2 linked regions of the Caenorhabditis elegans genome follow. Changing the gene in region 1 together with any one later gene gives a genetic interaction. Each region holds a gene or a part of one and is shown on either strand. Other genes may lie near its edges.

Region 1 (6,230 bases):
TAAAGTTATAACTTTTGTACTTTTTTCAAAACAAAATCCAACGTAATATAATCGATTTTTTTCAATTAATTATTCTCTTATACATCCGCGTCAAAAATACGGTACGCGGCCTCGACACGACAAATTTTAGTTAAATGCGAAATGTTGTGCGCCTTTAAAGAGTACTGTAATTTCAAACTATGATTGCTTCGGAATTTTCATCGAGTTTTTTTTTAAATTTTTTCTAATTATTTGTTCAAAATTATGCTTTTATTGTTATATTCCATTTTTCTAACTATGCAATTCGGTGAAAATTCAGCAGCAGCAATAGTTTGAAATTACAGTAATCTTTAAAGGCGCGCACATTTTCGCATTTATAAATTTGTCGTGTCGAGACACCAATAATATATTTTTCTAATTTATTTCAGTCTCCAAAGTCACATATGATGCACAAGTACTAGTACGTCAAACATATCGTCGCCATGGAACTGAAATCCTCATCGCCACAAATGTGATACTATTATTATTGTTTTTGTACATTTGTCGACTATTTCCATTCAATAAATGAGTTTTTATGATTGGAAAATAAATATTGCTTACAATTTTATGGGAAAAGGAAGACTTAATGATGAGACACACCCACGGGGATTTAATGATGAAGAAATATGAGGGAAGTAATACAAAAATTTATGTCAAGATTCTTGATTTGAAAGTTTGTAATTTTGTGACAGACAAACGAACAGAGAAAGTGGAGAGAAAATAACTAAAGTCGGAAAAATTTCAAAAATTTTTTGGGCGATTTTTATAGTTTTCAAAATTACAGAATGGAGCTAACAAGGTGAGAATAATACCTTCACACGCTTTCAAACAAGAGGATTAAGTCGTGAAACACATTGTGAATCTAACAGGAGAAATCATCCTAAAAGTGGGAGAGACACGACCCGAATGATTCGGGGTTAAGGATCTACAGTTATCTTTTTAAAAGTGGTGGTGGAAGAGACAAGAAAGAGAACACTGGAGTTGAAGAGTGAGGGAAAAGTATAGAAAACGGGCCACGTAATTCAAGAATGATATGAGAGGATAGAGAGAGGGAGAGAGTAAAGAAAAAGAAGCTATAAGAATAATAAAGTACAACTCTATCTCAAATTGGAAGCAAAAGACAACTTTAACAGTTGAAAAATAGAAACCAACTAAGAGCTTATTCCTGTTTTACTTCAAAAATTTACGATGACGAAGGATTTGAAAGAAAGAAAGCGAGTAACATTGAATACGCGATTAAATGTCTATAAGTCGACATGAGGACTACGAAAACGGGAAAGAAGGGACGGGATTTGAGAAAGAATTGACTCACAAAAATATGGGGAAAATATGAAAAAAAAATTTAGAGTTATATGAATGTGATATTTGAGGATAAATTGAGAAAAAGGGAAAATGATGATTGGGGGAGGACGAAATCCAACAAGTTTACGAAAACAATAATTTAAACATCTGAGAAGATGTAGAGATTGTTAGTGGCAGCAAGAGCAATGATGTTATCCTTTGGATGCCATGCTGTGTGCAATATTTTACGATCAAATTGAAGTTGATCAGATGAAAGATCCTCTTCGGTCTGTAAATTGGGTTTTTGTTGATTTTGAAGTAAGATATGTTTATCATATTTTCACGAGAGTTTAACATGCATTCTTAAAGGTGCACGGATGTATTCAGATGAGTCTTGGCGATCAAGAAAATTTACGGTTGTGCTTTTATTTTATGCGGCTGATTCCTCGTTTATTTTACATTTTCAATAAAATTACGTCGTTTAAAGTGTATTTTTAGCGAAAAAATGTCGCTAAATACGAAGTAATTATATTGAAAAATAAAAAATAAACGAGAAGCAGTCGCATAAAATAAAAATAAAAACTACCATAAACTTTTTTTGCGCGCAGAGACCCATTTAAACATGAAGACGTTTTTTTAAATTTAATTGAAATCTTACCGTTTCACCGCTTGATGACAGATTGTTTCTCTTCCGTTTCGCTGATGGTACAACAAATCGAGATCGGAGCTGTGAATGTGGTTCTTGAGGCCGAGCTTCCCAAGTTTTCGCATCTTGGTTATTGCCACGAGCATATGAACGGAACAGATTATGATACGAACCCGTGAGAATATGTCTGCAAAAAGAAAATTATAATATGAAAAAGTACTGCAATTAATTACTTGTCATCTCCACTCCAATCGCACTCGAATTTATCGAAAATTGAATCATTTTCGTAGAGTGCACAGAGTTTTGTTCGTAAATAATTGTGCACTGGATATGTCTCTACCGGTTGTGATTCCATGTTCAAATCCCACACCTGAAATATAAAAGTTGTTCAAATTTTCTTTTTAATTATTAATAATTACCTTGACAGTAAGATAGTCCCTCGTAAGCAAGTACCTTCCATTATGTGAGAATTTGACGTCACTAACAGATGCAATAATCTCCGAGAAGAAAGATCGAGATTGAGGGTCTTCTGGTTCCTCGAAAACTGCAAATTAATATTATTTATATAATCAATACACAGAACCAAACGCACTTTTAGCATACGCATCACATAGAGCACGATCTCTCATATCACACAATCGAATAGATCCTTTTGATGAAGAGTATACAAACCAATTACACTGCGTTGGATGGAATTCGGCGGCAGTAATAACTTCCGTAAGTTCTTCCATATTAGCAGGCTTGATGTCGACAATGTCTGGAAGAAATCGATATTAAAATTTTTTGAAAACAAGTATTCAAAACTCACTGAAAGACTCATTGGTAATCTCCAGATTCCAAAGGTTAACTCGCAAATCGTCGGCAGATAGGAATGTTTCCTGAAAATCGGAATATAATTTTTAATTTCGGTTCACTTATACATAATTGATATTTTGGTCCTTGCAGTACCAAACATTTTAAATTTTCACAAAAAAGAATTCAGCCAACCTGGTACTATTTTTCTAATAAATTGAATAGTTAAAAAAATACGCCGAACATGTGAAGAAGGTTATACTGTTGAGATTTTGATTCATCGTATACTTTGGATTGAAAAAAGCTGAACACAAAAAAAAATTATTAAAATACCTGATCAGAATTCACTGAAATACTGTTGACGTGATAAGTGTGAGCATTTCCGTAAACTCGTCTCGGACTTGCTTCAACTATCAACTCCATTGGCACGATCGAGGGTATTTGTAAGCGACCTCGGAAGGAGGAAGTGCTGAAAATTATATTTATATATTTAAAATATTTAATCATTAATGTTATACTTGATTCTGTTTGTTCTAGGCAGATTCCATGCATCGTCTCCAATTTTACGCTCTCTTTCACTAATTTTCCACAGCTTGATTGTTTTGTCGTTGGTCGAGAGAATGAAATTGGCTGCATTCTTCTTTTTAAGCCACCGAATTTGATTAATTTTCTCGTCAATTTCTAGTGATTTCAAATAATCAAATTCAGGTTCATGAGATTGAAATGTCGAGTAAACATTATATTCCCTCGATCGAACGCCTTTCACATACTTTCCCTGAAAAATTAAATATTTAAAACAGTTCTCGTCTTTCTAAAAACTAAAACCTACACTCTGATCTCGTTGGAAAATTACAACACGTCCTCCTTTGTCTCCCGTTGCCAAATATTCACCATCGTGTGAAAATTCCACACAAGAGATCACATCGGCTGAAAATTATTCGATTTTTCAGTATTCTAGGCATCATAATTTTTACTAATTTTTGACATATCATCTTAAAGTCGCACGCATTAATTCAGATGGGTCTCGGCGCGCAATAATGTTTATGGTAATTTTTTTCGAATGTTTTACTTTAAAAACTGATTTAAAACAATTTTCACAGAAAAATGAAAAGAATATGACAAATTTCGCAAAAAATGAACTAAGTAGTATTTTAATTTTAAAAAAAAACAAGGCAATTAAACCACCAACTTTTTTCTGAATAAATCGTGCGTCTTTAAGAAATAGTATCAAAAACGTAGGGAAATTTCAAGTAACAATTTTTTACCTTCCGTGTGCACATCGGCATCTATATTTCCTTTCACCTGGTTGAATTTCCAATTTATTTGATCTACCGGTTCAAATGTTTCATCGTTCTCAATTGGTCCCTCGGAGGTATCCATATCAAAGTCATTCGCATGCTCCTGCGGTTGATTTTGCGATGTAGTCGCCGCAACTGCAGGTTCGTCCACTTCCATCACCATTATTCAAATTTTTCCTCTTTTTCGTTGTTTCTTTGGTTCTCTTCCCTTCCTAATCACTGGATGTGACGAAGATTAAAGTGTTTGAGACACGGGAATGACGACTATTTTTAATGCGTCTGAAAAATGGAAATTATTATATACAAAATTGGATTAGGAATTCAGAGATTGACATCGGGAAAAAAAGAAGCATAAATCCTCATGCCGCAGGTTGCTAGGCAACAAATCTGTCGAGTGATGAAGAAAAAGCACAACATGGTAAAACAGGAAATTAAGACAATTGTTTGAAAGAGAAATAGCTGCAAAGTTTTTTCAAAGAGTCAAAAGGAATGGAACACTCAGGTCAGAGAATTAGAGACAAAGAACGTTGTTTAAAAGTTTGTATGTTTGATTCGATCACAAAAATGACCGAGAATCACAGCGGTGCCGCAATGCTATCGCAATTTACATGACGAAACGCGGGCAAAAAAACTAGGGTGCGAAAGGGCGCATTTGCAATTTGTAAACGGAAGGGACCGGTTTTGAGTGCATTTCAGTGCAACAAAATTAGAAAATGAAATAACACAAAAATGTTGATAATGGATGCTTAATTTACGTAGATCAATTTATAAGTAATATCTCTCTGATCGCCGCATTTTAGTCAAAAAAAAATTGTTGGTCAAAAGCACGAAGATTTGGTTGGAGAAAACAAGCAGATGATGCTTACCGAGATCTCGTCTGCCAACCAAGGGACTCTTAATCCATCGGCGCAGAGCAAACGCGCGAGATTAATTCGAGCTTCTTCACAACATCTGCGTCTCTTCAGTCATCTCATTATGTTATTACTATCAACACTGAATGCTCATAAAGCACGAAAGCAGAGATACATGGCTCGAGGTAGTTCTCTAATCATCTCATTTTCACTGAATTCTTTTTTCTATTCAAGTTTCTTCCTAATCCGCTCCCTCACCTGTGTGAATTCCAGTTAACCAAAAACGGAGCAATAGACAGACCGTAGAGAGAAAGAGACAGAAAAGGAAACAAAAATGAGTGTGTATGTGTGCGTGTGTGCCGAATAATAATGAGCAGAGTGAGGCGCAAAATCAGATTATAACTTCAACTTTTTTTTCAAAATGGTAGATAACCAATCGATCGATCAATAATTATCAGATGAGTCATAGGAAAATGACTGAAACAGTATGCGATCACGCAGAGAAGAACTTCACGCAGCTGGCCAGAGGGCAACAACAAGACGGAAATAATCAATGACTACTCATGACTACACGAGAAGGAACCTCTTACTTATCAGCTGTCCTCCGATAGAAACAAAAAATTATTGATCAGAAAGCAAATATGATTTCAAAAGTTAAAAGCTTGATTATTTCAAAATAATAATAAGGAAAATGCTGAATAAGATTGTTGTGATCAACAGAAATCCAATTGGCAAAATGTAATAAAAAGTGAAAAACGGAGACGGAAGGAATCATGATGGATTAAAAAACAATATACATCCATTTTCTAAGCGGCAAAAACGAGAGATGGAGCACTCCCTCCATGTGTGTGCGGGCCTGTGAGTGTCAACGACGTGTGCAGCATGAGGCGACGACAGCATCAGCCGGTGGAGAAGCAGAAGACATGGTGGGGGAGGAAAAGAAGACGTCGAGAAGGAGCGAGAAGAGATATCAGTGTTCTTCCGAAGGGAGCGCGAGGAGACATGAAGAGATGGGCGACTACTGCCTTGAAGAACCAAATAATCGATTGGCTATGGCGCCGGCGACGAACCGAATGGCGAAAACGGAATGACGCAGAGTATGAAACACGAGACAGTGCACCTAAACGAGTTACGCAGACAGCTCGACGATGGAACACAAAGAAACTGTGTGCGAAGCTAATAGCATTGATGGACAGTCAACTCTTTCTTTTTTTATTTGAAAAATGTTACTATCATTATTTGGAAGCACATTTTGACCGTTTCGTAAAAGAAAACTTAGTTCAGTGAAAGTAGGGTCAATTAGTGTTCGCAAAAAGTGTAATGAGTTGGGCTCTTCTTTTTAGG
Region 2 (4,995 bases), on another chromosome or scaffold:
TATAGTGATTTCAACAAAAAGTTGTTTCCAGCTGCTGCGACATTGAGAAGTCGGTCAAATTTCAAATTTTAACTAAACCTAGGCCATTTTTTGAGCCACCATAACTTTTTTAAAACAAGTTTTCAAGATGTTTCATTATAAAATTCGGTGTTTTCAGACTATTTTGAGTTTAGTCAAGAAATAATAATCGAAATAAAAAATCGACTACACCACTTTTAGCATGAGATAAACGATAAAAGTATGCAATAAAGGGTGATAATTTAATAAAAACTGTAAGTAAAATTCCAGAGGCTGCCATAAGCAAGAGTTGCCGAAATTTCGGCTTTTTTTTCGATTTTTTTTTAAGAAAAAAGTCTCATTATGATATCCAGTCAGTTTTGGTCTATTCAAGCAAAATAACCAAAATCTCTACTACTTTTCAAATTTCTTCAATTCGATCGAATTTGACCTCAAAAAAATCGAAACGAGAATCAAAAAAGAGTCGACCTTGAAGTAGTGTATTTGTGTTGATTAGGTGGGGCTACTGATTGCACTGCAAATCAATAAATATATAAAGTCTTCTCAACAGATCAAACTGGTTCGAATAGAACAAGGCCGTGGTGAGAGATGGTGGCCGGCCGTTGTCGGGTGTCCATTTCTCTAGAATCTCTCACAGATTCCTGCAGTATTTCGTCAGCAGCCGCCGGCGGGTAACCCCCCGCTTCCCGTTCTCATCCCGTATCATTCTGTCCGCTTGTCTGTCACCTCTACGCTTCCATCACACTCCATCTTTTCTTCTATTTCTTCTTTTCAGTGTGTGTGTTGTTCCATGCATTATTTTTGCGGGTTGTAATCATCATCATCATCGCCATCATACACTTTTCTCCTTCTTCTCCATCTTGCTTTTCTCGCTCTCGTCAATATAGTTTTTGTCTTAAATAAACTTTGCAAAAGTGAAAATTTAAAAAAATATATAAATTCGTTCCTTGCATGCAGATTTTTTTTTCTGAAATTGCCGGAATTTATGTTACCAGCCAGGGATGTCCGGCAATTGTGGTTTGGCAAATTTTCTTGTCCACAAATTCGGCAAATTGCCGATTTGCCAATTTGCCGGAAATTTCGATTTTCGGCAATTTGCCGATTTGCCGTTCGCCGGATATCAATTTGCCAGAAAAATGAGGGTTTTTTATATATTTTTTTATATTTTTCATAACACTTAAAACTGTGCCTTTTTGAAATTTTTTTCCGGTTTTCTTTAGATATTTTCATAGAATTTGCTAACTTTTCAAAATAGATGTAGGAACATTCATAGGATGCGTACAATTTTGCTGATTGAAATTGAACTTCTGGAATTCCCAAAAAAAAAGTGCAAGGCCACAATTTGCCGGTTTGCCGATTTGCCGGAAATTGTCAATTCCGGCAATGTTGATTTGCCGGAAAGTTAGCAAAAATCGTTTGCCGATTTTTTCCAGCAAAGCGGCAAATGGCCGGAATTGAAATTTCCGGCAAATTGGCAATAAACCGGAAAAGTGGCAATTGTCGAAAATTTTCGGCGAAACGTGGTTTTGCACTTCTTTTTTTGTTGGAAATTTCAGAATTTCAATCTAAATCGGCGAAATTGTACGCATCCTATGAATTTTCCTACGTCTGTTTTGAACTGTAAGAAAAAATTTAAAAAAGGGGCAGTTTTAAATGTTCCCATCTTATAAAAATCCCTCTAAACATTTCCGGCAAATTCCAATTTTTTCGAGGAATTGGATTATGTTCCATATATCAACGAAAAAAAAAACAATTTTATTAAACAAAATAAATTGAAAAAATTCGGAAATTTTTCATTTGACGGTATATGCTAAAATATTTTTTTCTGTTCACTTTAAGGTACTTCTGGTGATTAGAAAATTTAAAAAAAAATCGATTGTCAGCGTAAGAATTTATTAATTCATGAATTTTAACTCGTAACTTATTGTTGGCCCACTAATATATTTTTTCCTAAATAATTCAAAATTTCATTGCAGATGGTCATATAAATGAGCATAATGAGCATATCACTGCACTCGGCATCATCGGATACGGTCTCGTTGACCAGCCGACGAACAATATCAACTAGTAAGCATTGGGCGGCTATTTTTGATGAAAGAATTTATCAGGTTTGTATATATTTGAATATTTCCTGAATTCAATAATATTTTTCAATTTCAGATATGCAATATCGTACATCCTGGCCTCCCGATTGACAATGCTGCAGTTGAGCACATTCGATATTTTTTGCAAAGTATCGTTTTTGAGGTATATATATATATGTATATATCGGTTTTTTTTCAAATCTAACAAATAAATTAATATTAATAAATTCCCCCTGTGCATTTCTTGACCTTGTAATCCTTTCCCCTCTTCAGCTCATCGAAGCACGTGCCACAAGTGTCGTCGAAGTGGACAAAACTGCGAAAAAGCTGTTCGCATTCGGTCTGCAGACTGTTTGTAAAGTAAGGGATTTTCAAAAAATGTTTCCAAAAAATTTGTATATTCATAAATCATCAAAAAAGATCGTGATTTGATTTTCAAAACTATTCATTTTTTGTCTTTTATCCTGAATATTCAAGTTTATGGAATTCTTTCCGCTTTAAAATATTTTATTTAAAATGTACTACGAGAACACAAAAATCTGAGAATGCGTATTGCACAACATATTTGACGCGCAAAATAACTCGTAGCGAAAAAGAAAACTACAGTAATCCTTCAAATCACTACTGTAGCGCTTGTGTCGATTTACGAGATCTCGATTTTCGTATTAAAAGCGATGGAGCTTATTTCGAAAATTGGGCCCCGTAAATCGACACAAGCGCTACAGTAATCATTTAAAGGGTTACTGTAGTTTTCGCTACGACACATTTTGCGCGTCAAATATGTGCAATACGCATTCTCAGATTTTTGTGTTCTCGTAGTACATTTTAAATAAAATATTTTAAAGCGGAAAGAATTCCATAAACTTGAATATTCAGGATAAAAGACAAAAAATGAATAGTTTTGAAAATCAAATCACGATCTTTTTTGGTGATTTATGAATATACAAATTTTTCTTTTTTTTGCCTAAAAAATCTGGGTTTGGACAAAAAAAATATTAAAAAAGTAGTGAAATTGGTGAAAAAACCAACAAAAAAAAACGTTTTCCACCTAACATAAATACAAGAAAAATGAAATATACTCTTTGGGAAAAAAATATTTTTAAAAATTCTAAAATTCTGAAAAACCACAAATTAAAATGAACAAACCACGAAATATTGAAAAATTCAACTTTCGAAAATTTTCGTGATTTTAAAATTTGGATTTTTCAGAATTTGAGACTATTTTTGAATTTTTCGGAGCAATATTCCCCCTAAAATGTGTATTTTTTCTGATTTCTCGAATTTTCTTAAATATTATTTCAAAATTTGCAGGAAGCCTGGGACAACATGCACCAACAACTCCAAAAGCACAAATATCAAAAAGCCCTGAAAACAGTTCTAGAAAGCCAACATCGCCTGGCAGCAGTCATCAAAGAAACACTTGGACCACGAGAAAAAGAGAAAAAAGATCGAGAAAAGAAGGAAATCGAACGTATCGCATGCTATATTTATTATGCATGTGAAAGTGTTACTGAAGATGTGCTCAGGCTGACTGGAAATTATGTGAAAAATATTCGAAATAGTGAGCAAAAGATTACGATGGCTAATCTTGATGTGGCGATGAACGGGGATAAGGTACTGCTTTTTTTTGGAGAAAAATATAAAAAAAACCTATTCAGCAGAAAATTTGCTTCGAAAAAATAAAAATAAAAATAGTCTTGAATTCAGAAAAAACCAAAAAAATCGCAATTTTAGCTAAACACAATTTTGTTTTCGAAATCGAAAAACGAGAAAAAAATTTTTTTTTTGAAAACAAAACATTTTTCGCCGAAAAATACGAAGAAATAATAAATTTTTCGCCAAAAAACACAAAAAAGCGAAAAGAATAAACATTTTTCAGTTTATAACGTTATTTTAAAAAAAAACTTGCTTATTTTGACCAAAATTGCATTAAAAAAAATTCGAGTGTGATTTTTTGGAATTTATGTAAAATTTAATATTTTTCTATATTTTTCAATTTATCAGAATTTTCCGCTTTTTATCAATCTTTTTTTCGAAAAAAAAGCAACAAAAAAAAACACATTTTTCGCCAAAAACACGGCAAAATCTACAACCCTGACTGCTGCGACCAATCAGCGATTCGCTCCGCCCATTCTTCAACCAATCAGATGGAGTGGGCGGAGTTTGGTGGCGCTGATTGGTTGTGCAGTTTTCGTTGCGGTGGGAATTCAAAGTTAGCCAAAATTTTCACGATTTTCTTGTGTATTTTTTTCCGAATTTGAGACTATTTTGGTTATTTTGAAGCGAAAATTCAAAAAAAAAAAATCCCAGAAATTTCTGAAATTGACCTAAATTGACCTGAAAATCGATAATTAGACTTGTTTGCAAAGAAAAAAAAAAGGAAAATCTAATTAATATAGCCGTCGGCAATATTATTGCCGAAAAACGATATATTAATTGGGTTTTCTTTGTTTTTTTTCTGTTTTATAATTGGAAATATTATTTTTTCAGACTTTTTTCTGGAAAAAGGGTATAATTTTAAGATTAAATTATCGGTTTTTGGCCAATTTTGGCTAAATTTGTTTCAAATTCTCTTTTTTCATAAATTTCATCTCAAAATTATATTGCATATGTCCACTTCGTGCCAGGCTGTCCCATTACGGTTTGATCTACGAAAAATGCGGGAATTTTTTCCCAGAAAAAATGTGACGTTAGCACGCTCTTAACCATGCGAAATCAGTTGAGAACTCTGCGTCTCTTCTCCCGCATTTTTCGTAGATCAAACCGTAATGGGACAGCCTGACTCCACGTGTATCTGCACGTGGTCTCAAAGTGTCCCATTTTGGTTTGATCTCCGAAAAAGGCGGGACGTCACATTATTCCGAGGAAAAAATTCCCGCATTTTTTGTAGATC

Evidence for each region.
Region 2: changes in sur-6 (region 1) and sos-1 together harm fitness more than expected from each alone (negative genetic interaction), as found in Caenorhabditis elegans (one large-scale study listed by BioGRID).

What each region holds. Positions count from the first base shown.
Region 1 is NC_003279.8:9,752,206-9,758,435, reverse strand, and holds sur-6 (Serine/threonine-protein phosphatase 2A regulatory subunit sur-6), read right to left. Parts: upstream 4,315-6,230; 5' UTR 4,199-4,314; coding exon 4,003-4,198; intron 3,665-4,002; coding exon 3,567-3,664; intron 3,513-3,566; coding exon 3,256-3,512; intron 3,207-3,255; coding exon 3,071-3,206; intron 2,824-3,070; coding exon 2,754-2,823; intron 2,703-2,753; coding exon 2,538-2,702; intron 2,490-2,537; coding exon 2,365-2,489; intron 2,316-2,364; coding exon 2,179-2,315; intron 2,133-2,178; coding exon 1,958-2,132; intron 1,589-1,957; coding exon 1,460-1,588; 3' UTR 548-1,459; downstream 1-547. Other genes in the region: F26E4.2 (Tnp_DDE_dom domain-containing protein), read left to right, coding at 408-547. UniProt on the Caenorhabditis elegans protein: Probable regulatory subunit of serine/threonine phosphatase let-92.
Region 2 is NC_003283.11:4,546,291-4,551,285, reverse strand, and holds the start of sos-1 (Son of sevenless homolog), read left to right. Parts: upstream 1-1,994; 5' UTR 1,995-2,006; coding exon 2,007-2,126; intron 2,127-2,178; coding exon 2,179-2,265; intron 2,266-2,375; coding exon 2,376-2,462; intron 2,463-3,413; coding exon 3,414-3,716; intron 3,717-4,995. UniProt on the Caenorhabditis elegans protein: Promotes the exchange of Ras-bound GDP by GTP. May regulate signaling pathways downstream of receptor tyrosine kinase, egl-15 and let-23.